Astyanax mexicanus: one gene and its partner. The protein of the gene in region 1 interacts with the protein of each later gene in a pairwise test. Links are inferred from orthologs where the notes say so. Each region holds a gene or a part of one and is shown on either strand. Other genes may lie near its edges.

Evidence for each region.
Region 2: the proteins of swsap1 (region 1) and zswim7 interact in binary tests that used the Homo sapiens proteins (3 or more experiments, as listed by UniProt). The link is inferred for Astyanax mexicanus from reciprocal best matches to the Homo sapiens genes SWSAP1 and ZSWIM7.

The regions. Positions count from the first base shown.
Region 1 is NC_064426.1:39,073,024-39,081,549, reverse strand, and holds swsap1 (ATPase SWSAP1), read left to right. Parts: upstream 1-4,804; 5' UTR 4,805-5,018; coding exon 5,019-5,282; intron 5,283-6,370; coding exon 6,371-6,997; 3' UTR 6,998-7,402; downstream 7,403-8,526. Other genes in the region: znf653 (zinc finger protein 653), read right to left, coding at 726-1,061, 1,918-1,958, 3,031-3,347. UniProt on the Homo sapiens protein: ATPase which is preferentially stimulated by single-stranded DNA and is involved in homologous recombination repair (HRR). Has a DNA-binding activity which is independent of its ATPase activity.
Region 2 is NC_064408.1:30,315,780-30,323,976, forward strand, and holds the start of zswim7 (zinc finger SWIM domain-containing protein 7), read left to right. Parts: upstream 1-4,490; 5' UTR 4,491-4,632; intron 4,633-7,591; exon of another isoform or gene 7,592-7,593; 5' UTR 7,594-7,601; coding exon 7,602-7,677; intron 7,678-8,197. Other genes in the region: nanos2 (nanos homolog 1), read left to right, coding at 1,968-2,214, 3,076-3,350. UniProt on the Homo sapiens protein: Involved in early stages of the homologous recombination repair (HRR) pathway of double-stranded DNA breaks arising during DNA replication or induced by DNA-damaging agents. Required for meiotic progression, hence for fertility.

The sequences.
Region 1 (8,526 bases):
GCTTATCAACTTTTATGGAGATAAAAGAGGATTTCATTTTCCAGCAGGACTTGGCACACTGCCCACACTGACAAAAGTACCAATTGGTCTTATATATAGTAATATTCTAATTTTGTGAGACACTGATTTTTGGCATTCCTTTGGCTTTAATCCATAATAATCATTAACAATACGATAAATAAACATCTAAAATACATCACTCTATGTGTAATACATCTATATATGAGTTTCACATTTTGACCTGAATTACTGAAATAAAATAACTTTTCAATGATATTCAACATTTTTGTCGTCAACTGTGCACCACGCAGCTTGATTTAGGGGTGCGTCAGTGTGTCTTTGCTATCGTAAAAAAGTACAACTTGCACGGCTTGAAGCATGTAAAAGGCATATACTAATTCTCATTAAGAGCCAGGTGTGTTTTGATTGCTATTTCAAGGGAGCAGCTACCTGAACATGTCCAATGCTTCCCAGTAGATGAAACTGACCTGTTAAATCATTGATTATTGTGTAATACTGGCACCAATGGAATGTTTTTAGCCAATCACATTGCAGGGTCAGAACTAACCATGGAATAATGCATGTTAATCATTTAATATAGAACTCATTTACATAAATCAACCCTTTATTTCTCAATCAGAGAGGAAAGGGAAAGGTTATGAACAAATCACCAAAATTTGATCTATATTGTAGTATGTATGATATACAGTATGATTTATCCACACCTGTCAGCTGAGTTTGGTTCACAGCTCTTCGGCTAGCCCTTGTGTTGATGCGCACACCTGTTGTGGGTGTCTCAGCAGCTCTGTTTTTCTCCGGCTCCTCTGTAGCTTCATCCTCCTCTTCCTCCTCCTCCTCCTCCTCTGATTCACTAGCACCTCCCGCAGGCCACGAGATGTGCTGTATGAAGGAATGCTCAGCTTCACACTGCCAGAGAACAGAGGTGGACAGACCCAGCGTCGGCTCCACAGCTCGCAGTTCAGGCTCATGAGGACAGGTCTGGCAGTGCTCCTGGTACCAGCTCACTAAACTGTGCAGGCTGGTGACGGCCACCTTCTTTCCTACACAAGGAAACGAATGACAGAGTCAAAAAGAGAGTCAGAAGCCCTTTCTGGATGGGATTAGTTTCTCAGGGGGTCCTGGGATAATTTTCTCTTTTACTTGGGAGTCCTCTGTGATTTTATTCCTGTCCAGAACGAACATGTGTTTTTCTCAGACGTCCTCTGAAAAAAAATTACAGGCTGAATTATCTACTGTTTTTCGCTGAACTCTTTCTTGATCCGCCGGTAATTTTAGTCCCGTCCGGATCCACATGTCTGATTTAGTTTCCTCACGTTTAATAAAACAGCTATTTGTCCACTGCCGTGCACCATATTTACACTTTGGGCACACATTTCCACGGAGATACACGTAAAACACAACAGCAAGTGGAAATGGAGGAGCTACTGAACAAGATTTCATGTGACCCAGAAAGCCAAAAAAAAAAAAAAAGAAAACTCTCTCTGGTCCTCCAGTTTTTTCAATTGCATTCCGGATGCAAGAGTTTTATCACTGAGTAAAACTGTAAACTGAATGTAACTGCTGCCAAACTAAGGGTGGAACGAAAAACTAAAAAATGCTATATGTGAGGGAGATATAAAATTACTGAAAATAAGAAGGACCTTGTTTAACTACTCTAGCAGGCTCTGGAAACACACAGAGCTTTACTAAATCTACTGGTTAAGCTGGAACTTCTCACAATACATTTCACTGTTTATCTAGTGTGCTGATTTTACTAAAGTTTGGATCAAATAAATGAGAAAGGCACCTAACAAAGAGAGTTTTCAAAGTCTAAAAGTCTAACGGTTTCGGTCTAACAGTCTCGCTTTGGACTAATACACAAAAAAATATAGTGACCATGCATTTGAGTTTACTCACCTTTCTTCTGATTTTTGCACAGCTCTGGAATGTTGTTCTTCCTGTCAATCAGAAGAGAGGACAGGATGTTATAAAACCTATAAAATATTCTGCTATAAACCATAATCGTAATATCGGATATCAGAATCGGCCCAGAATTCCAACATCAGTGCATCTCAAGCAAATCTACAACCAGTTGGAATCAGCAAACTACGGATCCTCTAAGGTGAGGATGTAAAGGTGAGGAGGTAATGTAAAAAAAAAATAATAATGCATGGCCACAGCTTATTAAAGCACAGGAACGAGATACTAATGCCTGCCCACTATTATTAAAGGGTGGGAACGAGATCCTAATGCATGGCCACGACTTGTTGTGAGAATGAGATCCCAATGCACGGCTACGACTTATCAAGGCACAGGAACTAGATGTGTGGCCTCGACTTATTAAAGCAAAGGAACAAGATACTGATGTGTAGCAACAACTTTTTAAAGCATGAAAACGAGATACTAGTGCTTTGCCACAACTTTTTAAAGCGTAAGAATAAATCCCAATATGTTTCCACAACTTATTACACAGTGGGAACGAGATCCCAAAGAGTGGCCACGACTTATTAAAGCGTGGGAATAAGATCCTAATGTGTGGCCATGAATTACTAAAGCATAGGGACAAGAAACTAATGTGTTGTGACAACTTATGAAAACAAAATGTGGGAATAAAATACCTACACATGGCCACCACTTATTACAAGCACAAGAACAAGATCCTTATGCATGGGAACAAGATATTATTGCATGGCCATGACTTATAAAAGGTATGGGAATAAGATTTTTGTATGTTTTACATGATGTCATCTTAGGGGCTGCGTAGCAAACCACCTGTATTAGTTAGCTAGTTAAACCTCTCAATCCACTTAAGAGGTTTTATAGCACTTAACCCGTATTTAATGTTAGTAAGGGCTGATTTAAAAATATATGATATAAAGCAGATAAGTAAATATAAATATGTGGTATAGGCAGGTACAAACAGGTATAAACAAGCATAACACAGATATAAGCAGATATAAGCAGGTACAAGCAGATATACCCAGGTATAAACAAGCATAACACAGGTATAAACAGATAATAAAGAGGTACTGGTGGCCGTGCGCTGCGTGTCTCCGCTGGTACCGCTCTCCGTAGGCGGAGTTCAGCAGGATCAGGTACTCGGCGAGTCCGGCGTCGCTCAGGCTGCTCCGCCGCCGCAGGTCGCTCCAGATCCGGTGCGACTCTCCGAGGTAAACCCGCCGAACGTCGTACTTCTTCCGCGACTCGAGGCGCCTCTGGGCTCGGTCCGAGTCCGACAGCCGTGGCCGACCCCTGCAGCGCCGCAGCATAGCTTTAATCTGCTCCCCGGAGCCGCTGGAGCTCCCGGAGCCCAGGCTGTCCGCCTTACCCCCACACTGAGTCGCCATCTTTACCCAGCTGCAGCTGTTGTGTTTCTTCTTAAAGGGATTTATGAGCCAAATCTGCGCATGCGCGCTCTAAACGTCACATACTAAACTATATTTTACCCGTATTTTATTATTTTAATATCCACATTATGGTACAGATATTAACCATACTTTATTATTAAAATATCCACATTATTACACAGATATTAACCATATTATTATTATTATTATTATTATTATTATTATTATTATTATTATTATTATTACATTATATCTTACAAAAACCTCACATATTAAACTGTACACATTATTATACAGATATTAACCATACGTTTTATTATAAAATCCACATTATTAAACAGATATTATTATTATTATAAGTAGTAGTAGTAGTAGTAGTAGTAGTTGTAGTAGTATACAGATATTAATCTTATTTTATTATTATTTTATTATTTGATTACATATATCTCGCAAATACCTCACATATAAAATTATCCACGTTATTACAAAGAATTAATTACAGATATTAATAAGATAATTAAATGATTAGTTGGATTGCTTAAATGCGAAAAAGATGCTCAAATAACAAATTATTGTTAGTTTGTTTTATTTAGGTTTATTATTATTATTTTTGTTGGACATACGAATTATTAACTTGAAACTTGAAAAAAACACCAGCAACATAAAACAAACAAACAAAAAAAGCAAGAAACAAGAGTTAAAAGCAAAATCAATAGTACAGACTAAAATTAAAACCAGAAAAATTAATAACTTATCAAATAAAGACTAATAATAATTAGATTTAAATTAATTAAATGGCAAAATGCACAGTGAAAAAAATGACTAAAGTAAGATGAATACAGAGCCCCTAAGATGACATAACATTTAAAAAATATATAAATTGGGGCCACATGCCTTACTAAGTCATGGCCACGCGTTATTATTATTATTATTATTTTTACATGACATTACCTTAGGGGCTCAGTAGATAAAAATAAAAATAAGTTCGAAAATTAAAGATAAATTAATGATTATACACTGATAAATGTTTTAGTACCACAGACATTATTTTTTAAGGATTTTAGCTGACATTAGCCACAATGCTAGTGTCTTTATCGCCTAAACCCGTTTACTGTAGAAAAATGAAAACAGACAGGTAACCTTTATTTGCGTTTTTATCAAAATATTTTTATCTACTTTGCTTAAATTAAAGGAATATTCTGGATAAATTGTCAATTAATATTTTTAATTTGTGTTTTTAGCCTCTTTGCTCTATTGACTCCCATTCATTAAGGGCTTACTAGCGGACTCTCCCTATCGGTTTACATTGGAAACAGGGGAAATACTGTGTAAAGTGGGTAGGCTCTCCCAGAGCCATATACAGGCGTATTTATTTGACAGACAGGTGGATTGTCCAATCAGAGCAGAAAAAAGCTTTTGCTGGAATATCAACTGGCCAATCGTAGATCAGAGTGAGAGGGGGTGGGCGTTGAGATGGGCGCGGGAAAAGCAAGTGATGTAGTTTTTAGTTAGCACTGAATGCTAAAAGTCAGTCAGTCAGTTTAGTTTATCTGTTATAGCTAGTTTTCTTGTTTAATTCACCAGACTCCAATCGCTGGAAACACGCTTTTAAAGAATTCAGAAGATGAAGATAGCTGTGTTTTATTGGTTGTGAGGATATTTAGAGCAGATATGGTGGATATTCTGGGGCTGGTGTTGAGGCAGTTCAGCTCCGGCAGTATCACCGGGGTGTGTACCCAGCCGGGTACCGGGCTGTGCGCCCCGGAGAGCGGCGCACTCGTGACTGGAGACCGAGGCTTTAGTAGGCCGCTACTGTTACTCTCAGCTCTGACTGCAGCTTCAGAATTAGCAGTTAAAGTGCTTTATTTCACTCCGAGTCAGATTCAGAGCCTTCCTATATCGTTTCAGGGTGCCAGGAGAGCTGAATGTCTTAAGGTAACACTAATTACTGTATAAAACACGTTTGGAAACACCTTAAATGTCAAGAGTTAATTAACCTACTTGAATTTCCTTCCCTTGAATTTAAGTAATGTCCTAATCCATATTATAGCAAGGACTACCCAGCTAAATACAGATGGGAAAAAACATACATCATCTAAAATGTTATAATGAACTGACCTTCACAAGGATTGCCCCAGAAAAGGAGGAGCATAATTTAGTTACCTCTGTTACACAGGATAAGTTCATCAGTGTCAGAAACCCCAAGTTAAAAAGCACCCCAGATAAGAGAGTATTTTGGTTTGTTTAACACTGTTAACTTACTACATTGTCTAGATGACTTCAAAAGACATTGAATGAGAAGGTGTGTCCAAAGTTTTGACTGGCACTGTTCAAGTGAAAACTCATATTATTAATAATTATTATTTACTGTAAATGTCCTGTTTTACACTGCAAGACCAATGCAGTACAGCCTATAATTTTAGAACACAAGTCACCCATCCCAAATTATCATATCATGGTACTACTTTTTTGCTGATTTTTGCAAAAGAAAAAATCACACTGTTCCCATTTCCACATATATATATTTACTAGATACAGATTATATCTGTCCAGTATAATTTATTTTACTTTAATCCTGGATATATAGAGATATTTGGAGTGTACTATTAGTATCATGACATTCTGGATCAATAACTGATAAAAATCTTGGATTTTTTTTAAATATCTCAGTTAGGGGTGTGCCATATTATATTGTATGCAATAATAAAACTAGATTTTATTTTTGTTGCAGTAGTGTATTTTAGAAATAATTTCTTTAATTCAGTGTTTTGTCATATCACCATATGACATGAAATATCGTGATATTTTTTTAGGGCCATACCTGTAATTTAAACCTTCTGAACTTCTGTAAAAGGGGTGAATTACAGCAGAATGTTGGGGCCAATATCCTGTTGTGTTTTGTTTATATTCAGTATTTAATGTAAAATAAAAAATATGTATGTTAATTTAATTTAATATTATTTATTTAAATAATAAATAAATTTATTATATTTTCTTTTTCTTTTTGCTATCTCTCTTTGTAGAAAATCAGGTTTGTATACCCCAAGACCCTGGAGGAGCTTCTGGAGGACGTGGCCTCTCTTCACGAGCTGGTGCCTCAGTCTGGATCTCTCCCTTCTCTGCTCATCGTGGACGGTTTAGAGCAGTATGTTTGTGGTCCAGCTGCACAGGACAGAACCCCACAGGAGGCTCAGAGTGCAGCGGCTCATGTGGTGGCTCTCCTGCACGACACGGCAGCTTTCCTCACCCAGAAACTGGGAGCCAGGGCGGAGAACCAGGACCAGAACCAGAACCAAACCCAGGACCAGGTCCAGAGCCAGTGCAGGGTCATCGTCTCCTTTCAGCCTGAATGGGAAGGACAGGGTGGGTGTCCTGCTTTAGTTTCAGACCCCATTCTTTCTGTTTTGGAGCGATACCTGCAGGTGAGATGCACTACAGAAAAGGTGAGGAGGGGGGAGGAGCCAAACGAGTGGCTGTTTTGTCTCACAGGGCCTGGACTGCAAGCTGATGGGGATGGAAAATCAGAGGAACGGCTTCAGTGGCGTGTAGTTCTGAAGTCTAATGGTACACTGGATTTCTGCCCAATCAGTCGTGTGAAAGAGGACACATTAGAAACCCTGCAAAACCCTGTGGAAGTAAAAGATGACTAGACTAAGGGTGGGACAAAATATCGATATGGTTTCTGCTTCAATACTCCACATGGTGGTGCTATAATCAAATGAATAGGGTAAATAGAAGAATATTGGTTATGAAATTCTTTAAAAACTGACACCAGTAAATCCATATTTTATCCTCTTCAGTAACACAGATGCTGAGATGTATCGTAGAGAATTGTTTTGTGATATATCGAGTGTCGCAGATTCACAGTATTGCGATATTATGCATTAGGGCGAGAGCCCTTGTGTTTATATACTATTTCTTAACGATACATTGTTGTTGTGGACACAGCTCTTTGAACCGTAAACAAAAAACCCAACTCACTTCTCGCTTTATGAATTGTTCACTCTTTATATTTGTGCTTGTTTGCATTACAGTCCAATAAAAAAATAAATACAGTCTGTTAAAAAACACAACTCCTTGCCAAATACAGGAAAGAAACTGCAGACAATATTTCAAATTTTAATAGAATAATGGATTACAGATTTACAAAGTATAAAAAGAAAATTACACAGAAAATATATGTTATATATGGTTTTAGCATTAAACAGACACATTTTATAGTTGACCCCAGGCACTTGCTTTTACATCCCCACTACAAAAGCGTTTAAACGGATGTTTGTAAAATTATTTAGTGTTTGCATCCTAGTGTTTCTTCATCTTAATTGGCATTAACATGCAAACTGTTCATGAAATATTTATTTTTACAGAGATTTTATGTTTGCCTACATTGAAGAATTTCATGCACAGAATTTCCATGGATGATATATTGTCCGAGTAATTATTACAATAAAAAATATTAATGTTATTTTAAATCAATTGTGATGATAAAACACCTTTTAAAACATGAACTGGAAGATTTATTATTATACTAAACATCATACTGGAATGAATTCATTTTAGCATGCTGTCCTTGCTAAGAAAAATGTATAACATTTATGTATAATATTGTGGGCAATATGTAAGCCGATCAGGTTATTATTGTGACAGGCCTGTTTCCTCCACTACAATTAATGAAACATATCAGTTCTAATCTTTATCCAAACCCACTTCAGCCACATCTTTGGGCTCAATAACTAGTTTGTGTATCTTTTTACTCACTGTAATTGTTATAATATATTAAGACCTGGACATGCACTGTTAAATCCCTTAATCACTGGTTTGATTTGAAGATCTGAAGCAAACAGCAACCAAACAAAACATGATAATAATAAAGAGGTGACAATGTTTTAACGTGAATAAGAGTTTCCACACTTAAAAACAAATATACTGATACCTTTAAGAATAAAGAGGAACATTTACATTTTTCTTTATATAAGAAAGTGGCTTCCTTTAATAAAAAATACTCAAATTTATTAAAACACATTAAAAGTTGATAAAATTGGCACACAAACCAACTGTTATTTTCTGATACAAAAAATATTTTTTATTTACAGAATATTAAAAAAAAGGAAAGAAGACGATTAAACTCTAAATGTTTTTGTCTTTTTTTTTTTTTGTAAAATTATATTTACACTGACAT
Region 2 (8,197 bases), on another chromosome or scaffold:
CTATGATCTTTTCATGAGGTTGATGTTAAAAGATGAGTCTGTTTATATGCACCTAATAATCCAATAACTGTAGAAAACCCGATTGTCAGCCTTGAATGAACCTATTTAAGAAATCAGAGTATCCTGTTTTCTTGACCACTGGAGCAGTCAAATAGGTGTAAAAGAGGTGATTATATTCAGATTATTGAGTGCATCTAATTATTTATTTATTTATTTTTTAAATAAATTTAAATTAATGTATACATATTCATTGCCCATAAAAGGTTTGGACACACCTCTTCTCATTCATTTTTTTTCTTTTTATGATTTTAATTTTGTAAATTTAATATTAAAGATGTAATACATAAAAAGTATTAGTATCAGGACATTAACCTCTAAAGCAGAGTGTGTGATATCAGATATGAATCTATTCATATTAATATTACACGATTACTTTATTGTATAATTTAATTTACCTTTTAAACAGTGTAACCCTCCTGTTATGTTCAAAATACAAATATGCAGGAAAATTATTGTTTTTATTTTTTCTGGAGCGTATAAACATTTCTGCTGGACTTAATTAGCATTTATTAATATAAACAAATATTTGTATTTTACACACACACACACACACACACACACACACACACACACACACACACACAGATACAATACACGTGTCATATTTAGCATTAAACAGAAGATACAAAAGATACAAATATAACATTTCAACCTAATTATCAAACACATAACACGCAAACAGACACGCGTTTGGGGGGGGGGGGAGAGGAGAGAGAGACAGGTGCAGAACGAGGTCTTGTAGAGGTCAGGTCCTTAGCGGCGCCCTGCCACACACACACACAGGCACGCGCCGTCTGTCTGAACTGAAACGTATCACACAACCTGTTAACAACACACCGCCTACACCTGCAATACTCACCTACCCTGCTCACGTTCAGGGTTTTTATTTATTTATGAATAACAAGTTTACATCCTCTACATAGAACACAGTTTTGTTACATTTCATTTATGTTGTTTATTTGTTCTTTTTAATGCAATGTGTGCAAAAACAAAGTAACACATAGGAGTGTTAGAAAATATTGATATAAGGAAGTATCACAATATTTTGCACGCTTTGCAATAGTGTATCGATTTTTAAAAACCCGGTGTAGATCGCAGTTTTGTACTCTCATTAGATCCCACTGTTCTGATAAAAAGTAAAAAAAAATTACTCTATGCTAGTGATTTAAACAACTGCAATATATCACTTTGCTTACAGTATGAGAATATACAGCTCTGGAATAAATAAGAGACCACTTAAAAATTAAGATTTTTTTTTTTTTTTTTTTTGTTATTTTACCAAATTGAAAACCTCTGGAATATAATTATGAGGATAATGGATGATCACAAGCCATAAAAACCAAGCTGAACTGCTTGAATTTTTGCACCAGGAGTGGCATAAAGTTATATAAAAGCAGTGTGCAAGACTGGAGGAGAACATGCCAAGATGCATGAAAACTGTGATTAAAAACCAGGGTTATTCCACCAAATATTGATTTCTGAACTCTTAAAACTTTATGAATATGAACTTGTTTTCTTTGCATTATTTGAGGTCTTTTTTGTTATTTCAGCCATTTCTCATTTTCTGCAAATAAATGCACACCCATTTATCTATTCACTCTCACACACCTGTTCAGAGACATTTTATTAAAAGACCACTATGCATTAAAGTGGAAGCACAGCTCAAACAACCCCCCACCCCAGACTAATTAAGACACGCGACCTCTTCACGCGCGCCTATAGTGAAAGTTTCGAGACTGCAGCCCCGGGGACGAGGGGTCAGAGCCATCAATCAACATCCCCTAAACACTTAAGGCCTCCTATAAAAGCCCACCCCACCTCTGCTCCCCACAACTCATCACAATCATTCATACACACACACACACACACTCCTCCACACGACCCCCTTCATCCATACATCCATCACCATGCAGAAGGACCTGAGCACCCCCACCAGCCGCTTCTTCATATGGCGGGACTACCTAAATCTGAGGGACACCCTGGAGCGCGTGCTCCAGCAGTCCAGGCTCGAGGATGTGGGACCCCAGCCCCCCACTCCCATATCCCCGACCACTTCCATCTTACTGCCCGGGACAGAGCGAGAAGCCGGGGGCCAGCAGGACCAGGGAGAGGCGCTGTCTCAGAGCAGCGGAGGAGCGGAGAGTGGAGAAGAATGTAAGTAATAAATAAATATAAAAAACCTAATAACTTAACAACTGATGTATGAAATAAAATGAACAAAAGTAACAATGCTTTTAAATATGTATTATTTAGTCCTACGTTTAAAAATGTATCTATTTTTTTACGTTTTTGTAATGCTTCATTTTTCTAAAGCTATTTTACAGTATTTTATTATATTGTTTTGTATAAATATATAATAAAACAAATAACAAATTCTAAAGAATCTAAACTGAATAAAAAACTTTTCAGATTAGCCAAAACAAGTTGTGTAGATCTAAATTCAGTTTATATACATAATAAAAATCTGCTCTTTCCGTTTCTTCATAGTGTTTTATGCTCTAAAATAAATATTTATTATTTAATCATAAATTATGAGTTTGAAAATTGATGTATTTCTTTACATTTGTATAATGTTTTATTTTTCTAAACCTATTTTCACAGTATTTTATTATACTGTTTTATATAAATATATAATAAAACAAATAAAATATCTCTTCAGATTAGCCAAAAAGTTTTGTGTCTAAATTCAGTTTATAAACATAATAAAAAAAACAACTCTTTCCGTTTCTTCAGTGTTTTATGCACTGAAATAAATATTTATTATTTAATCATAAGTCATACGTTTGAAAATGTATCTTTTGTTTTATTTATTTATTTTTAATAATGCTTTATTTTTCTAAAGCTATTTTTACTGTATTTTATTATACTGTTTCATACGTATAGTAAAATAAATAATAAACTGAGAATGAAAACTAATTAAAATAACTCTTCAGATTAGCCAAAACAAGTTCTAGGTCTAAGTCTAAATCCAGTTTATATACATAATAAAAAGCTGCTCTTTCCGTTTCTTCACAGTGTTTTATGCACCGGTCCGAACCGAGACGCCCCCTAGTGTCCGCGAGGGCTCCTGCGCCTTCTGCCGGCGGAACGGTGAGAGCACCGAGGTGTACCGGAGCCACCGGCTGCGCAGGCGGGACGGCAGGGTGATGTGCCCCGTGCTGCGGAGCTACATGTGCCCGCTGTGCGGAGCCACCGGAGACACCGCGCACACCCGCCTCTACTGCCCCAACAGGAGCGACACAGAGCCGCGCCGCAGCGCCGCCCACAGGCGGGACACCCGCGCTCCGTAAAACACAGAGAAAAGACAGTGAGAGAAAAAGCGCGTGACTGAATCACTACTGCACACGAGTCTCAAACACCACCATAAGTGCAATGGAGGTTTTTCCCTAAAGCTAAAGTTCAGCTCTGTGGAGTTCATGTGCAGGTTTTAAACAGTGTGTTCTTCTCCACAGAGCTTCTGTACAGTTTATATAAAGCCTTATACAAAGCCCCAAGAAACATGCGCGGCTGCACGCTGTTCTGAAGAGTTTTATACAGGAAATTTTTTTTCATGTTTTTTCTGTTGTTTGCTGTTTTGTACAAAATAAAGAAAAGTTTTCCTAATGCAAAACATCTCGCTCTCTGTCAGTCTAAACTGAGAATTCAGGATGTCAATAACTGTTTATTGCTTTAACTATATCAAAAAACAGTGAACAAAAGTAGAGTATAATAATAACTAAAAACATAGACGTAGCTAAATAAGTTAAGTATGATAGTCTACCTTATTATTAAAGCTAATGCAATAACCACAAACTAAATTAAAATAATGTTTGATACACCTAATTAAAATAATTAAAGTTACAACCCAGTTAGTTTTTTCCTCCTCTCCTGTAATAAATAGCCACACTTCTTATTGCCTCTGTATTTAGCTACAGATAGCACTTCTCCACTAGATGGAGCCACTGACTCATATTTAATTCATAAAATAAAACCTTTATTTTTTATACTTCAAAATATGATTAGACTAGATATAAACGTTAAGCTGTGCTTTTGCTTTTCTCTCTTCTCTCGCTTTGATTTATTGTACATTGCATGCATTAATAAAAACTTAAATTATATAAAAGTGTGCAATATTATAGAGTAAAATCTACTTAGCAAACAGAGATAGTTATCACAGTGGTGTCTACTTCCTTATCTTCTTCATAAGATTACATTAAAAAAAAAATTCTAAACATTTAAACAGTATGGTTTAAATACTGGTGATGGCTAATTGGCTTTGCAGCTCAGTGCTCATGTTGGATGGCGCTCCATCACTGCAGAGAAAGCGCTGGACTGTGGAGCAGTGGAGATTTATACCTTTCTGTTCTGCGTGTGGAATAAGGCCTATTATAGTTTATATAATGAAGTGAAAAAAAATACAGCGTAAAAAAACAGCGTAAAAAACTACAAAGCCCACAATTCCGTGTGATTTCCGTTTCCTGGAGACGGCGATGTGTCCGGCGTGGGATAATCGAAGGGTAACCAGTGCAGTGTTTTGTACAGGAGAGTCGGGGGATGTTTACTGAGAGTGGAGTTGAGAGGAGTTGAGAGGAGGTCTGTGGGATGTATTTTTGAAATACTTTCTGTAATTTACAGGAGAAACAGCTGTAGTCGCTGATATTTCGGTTAGCTAACAGCTAGTTAACGTTACTGTCACGAACAGTCTAATTTCAGTAATTAGGCAGTCCTAATTACTGAAATTAGACTGTTCATTACAGTAACGTAAACTATCTGTTCAAACAGCTTTTCTCCCAGCAGTAGCACTGTTAACACTTACTAAATATTGACACACTCTAACCGAAGTAACAGTAGTTGTCAAAAATGATAAAAGTCGTGTCAGCAGACTCCTACAGTACTGTTAAAAAAGAAGTAGTTAGTTAACTTAAATGTGAGTACGAATAATATAGGATAAGTTCTACTTCAATGACCTAATCTCATCTCTAACTACATGGTATTTGGTATATGGTATATGGTATATGGTATAATCACTGCTGTTTAATGTCTCACAAATATACTTAGAGTAGATGCCGTGTATTAGTTCAGTTATTAATTTCACATCTGGTTATTATAGCATGGTTCGGCTGCAGCAGTCAAATTCCCGGTTGGCTGCTCTGTGTGTGGGCCGTTGAAAAGAGCTAAATATGCACTGCCTGGCCAAAAAGTGGATTTAAGTAAGTAAATGTGGGGTTGATGCTGCAGTTGGTCAGGTTTAGGTTCAGCAGCAGTATGTGCTGAAAGAATGAGGTCAGCTGACTACCTGAATATACTGAATATAGACCAGGTTATTCAATCAATGGATCAATAGAGTCCAGATCTTAACCTTATTGATAATCTTTGGGATGTGCTGTAGAAGGCTTTGTGCAGTGGTCAGACTCTACCATCATCAATGCTGCAAGATCTTGGTGAAAAATTTATGCAACACTAGATTGAAATAAATCTTGTAAGATTGCAGAAGCTTATTGAAACAATGCACAGTGAATGTGTGCTGCAATCAAAGCTAAAGGCGGTTTAACTAAATATTAGTGTGTGTCACTTATTTTTTTTGGTGGAAACTTTTTTTGGCCAGGCAGACCTGATTGAAGTATCCTAATATTGCATTGTGTGTTTGTCCAAAATACTCGCAGTCAAGGGCGTAGGAGCGGGCTTGATATGGGGGGGGGGGGACACATTTGCCAATATGAACCCAAGCTTTTATAAACGTCAGGATATGTGGTCTTACTGTGAAATACAAATGAACAGAAGTCACGTTACAGCAGTGTTTCTCAACCCAGTTCTTATATATTCTACTGCATATTAAAACTGTTCTGCATATTCTAGAGCTTCCTCTGGTGGATATACATGATTAATTTAGGCTCCATAGGGGGCTAAAGGTTTTTAACAGGTAAACTCAGTAAATGACTGTTTATTAGCTGATCAGGTGGAAAACACTAGTTTAGGGCAGTGATCGGGGTTAAGTAACTGCTTTAAACTACCAACTTAAAGTACTGTACGAAATTCTGGCGATCATCTACATCCAGCTTCTAGATAACTAGTTAGTTAAATCAATTTTCGTTCATTATAGCTCACAGTAAGTCCTGTAATCCTAAATGAATAAACAGTTTGAAAATTAAAGTGATTAGCTGATCAGGTACAGGGAAACATTACATATATATTTTATTTTTTCCTTTAACCCTGACTCCCAATCTAGCTAATTCCAAAGATAAGCTTACACACTAACACAGCTGCAGTGTATTAATCACAGTGGGTTTAAACTGTGTGCTGATTCAGAGACGTGTATTTTTAACCAGCTATCAGAAACATATCATCACAGTTGAAGTGGTTAGCCTATCGTTACCTTTCTTTTAGAAAAATCTCCGTATATCCATATCTGTTTTAAAATCAGCTGAAGCTGCTGCGTCCCGATCCCGCTGCTAAATCTCACAGCGAGGGGGCGGGGCTTCCCCAACAGCAAACTGCCTCTGCTCCGCGCGCCGCAAAACCAGCAAGCTGATTGGCTGTTTCTACTGAGAGGCGTGACTTAATACCTGAACCGGCTCCGTGATCGGTCCGGTCTGTCTCCTCATTAATAGTACAGCTGACCTGAGCGAACTGATATAATTTTTTTGGGGGGACAAATCCACCTGTTTCTAATATTGCTAGTATTCCTACGCCTATGCTCGCAGTGCATAAACATTAGCTACTCACAGACATGCTGCCTTTCCTAGCTAATAACATAGCAAAAAAAAGTCCAGGGCCTTGCAGTATGATACACATCCTGATACAGGGTTAGGAGTCACAATGCTGTAAGTATATTACAGTTTTTAATATCAATGTTATAAATATGTTGTGGTATATAAACACATCATTACTTGCAATATATTGAAGTTTTAAACAGTCTTACTTTTATTCATTTGGTACAGTAGGATGTGAAGACAGATAACAGCACCGCAATCTAGTGGTTGGGGATTAAATATGGCACACAATTACCCACTGTCTGCCATCAATCTATGCATGTAAAGTATGAATTAAATACCAGTGCTATGTTTTGAGAATTAATGAAGCATTGCAAAACCTAATATTGTGATAACTGCATCAATGATTCAATGATTTCTAACGTCACTATAGCAACATTTTATTTATTTGTGGGCCACATTGCAATATTATGTTGTACAAAGACCATTATGAGTATTATCAGCATTCCTTTTTTCCTTTTTTGTCATTTTTCTTTTTTCATCAGAATTTGAGAAGAATGGAAATGACAAAAGAATAGACTTCAAATGACTTAACATCATTTTACATAAAAAAAGGTTTTCTCTTCATCAATTCACATAAAACTTGAGTAATAGAGTTACAGTAGGCAATTAACGAGGTGTCAAATTGAGTAAAACATTTAAAACTGTTTACTGCTACATTTGAAAAAGCTGCTTTTCTCAGTTGATTCATTTACACAATAAATATGCTCAACTTGGATTGGTGTACAGTTATAGAATAAGACTAAAAGATCATATTCTATAATAATCCTTTATGTCTCTGAAGGATCTACAATGGCTTTGTGTTTGACTGCGGTTGCTGAGCAGCTTCTGAAGGATGTACAGAGGGCATACTCGGAGAAATCCCAGAGTAAGTAACAGTAGGTTAGAAATGCTGCAGCATTTTATGGGGTGATTTGGAATTATTTTTTATCTCTGATTTGATCTTTAATTATGGTACTTATAAAGGCAAAAATACAGTATCAGCAGAATCAAAACTGTTTAGGATTACTTTACAACTGAATAGAGTTTAACAGAATATTGTGAGAGCAGTTCACACAGTAATAGATGCTATCATATCTCATAGCATTATATCTCCAATAAAATAAAAAAACGAAATAAAATTGAAACTATCTTTAGATACCAAGCGTATTTTGTATTGACTGAATACAAGTGGGACTGGACAAAAATGGGCCAGATTGATTTTTTTTGTATTAAGCTTTAAATAACTAGATTTCAGCATATTTATTATGGCACTTTGCAAATGTGTCCTATTTAGAATGACTTTCTGAACTTTCTTTTATGATTTCTGGAGCCAGTCTGCACACTCATACCTTTTACGCTAAAGTATATTTGACTTTACTACGTTTTACTACAGCTGCTAATCTTTA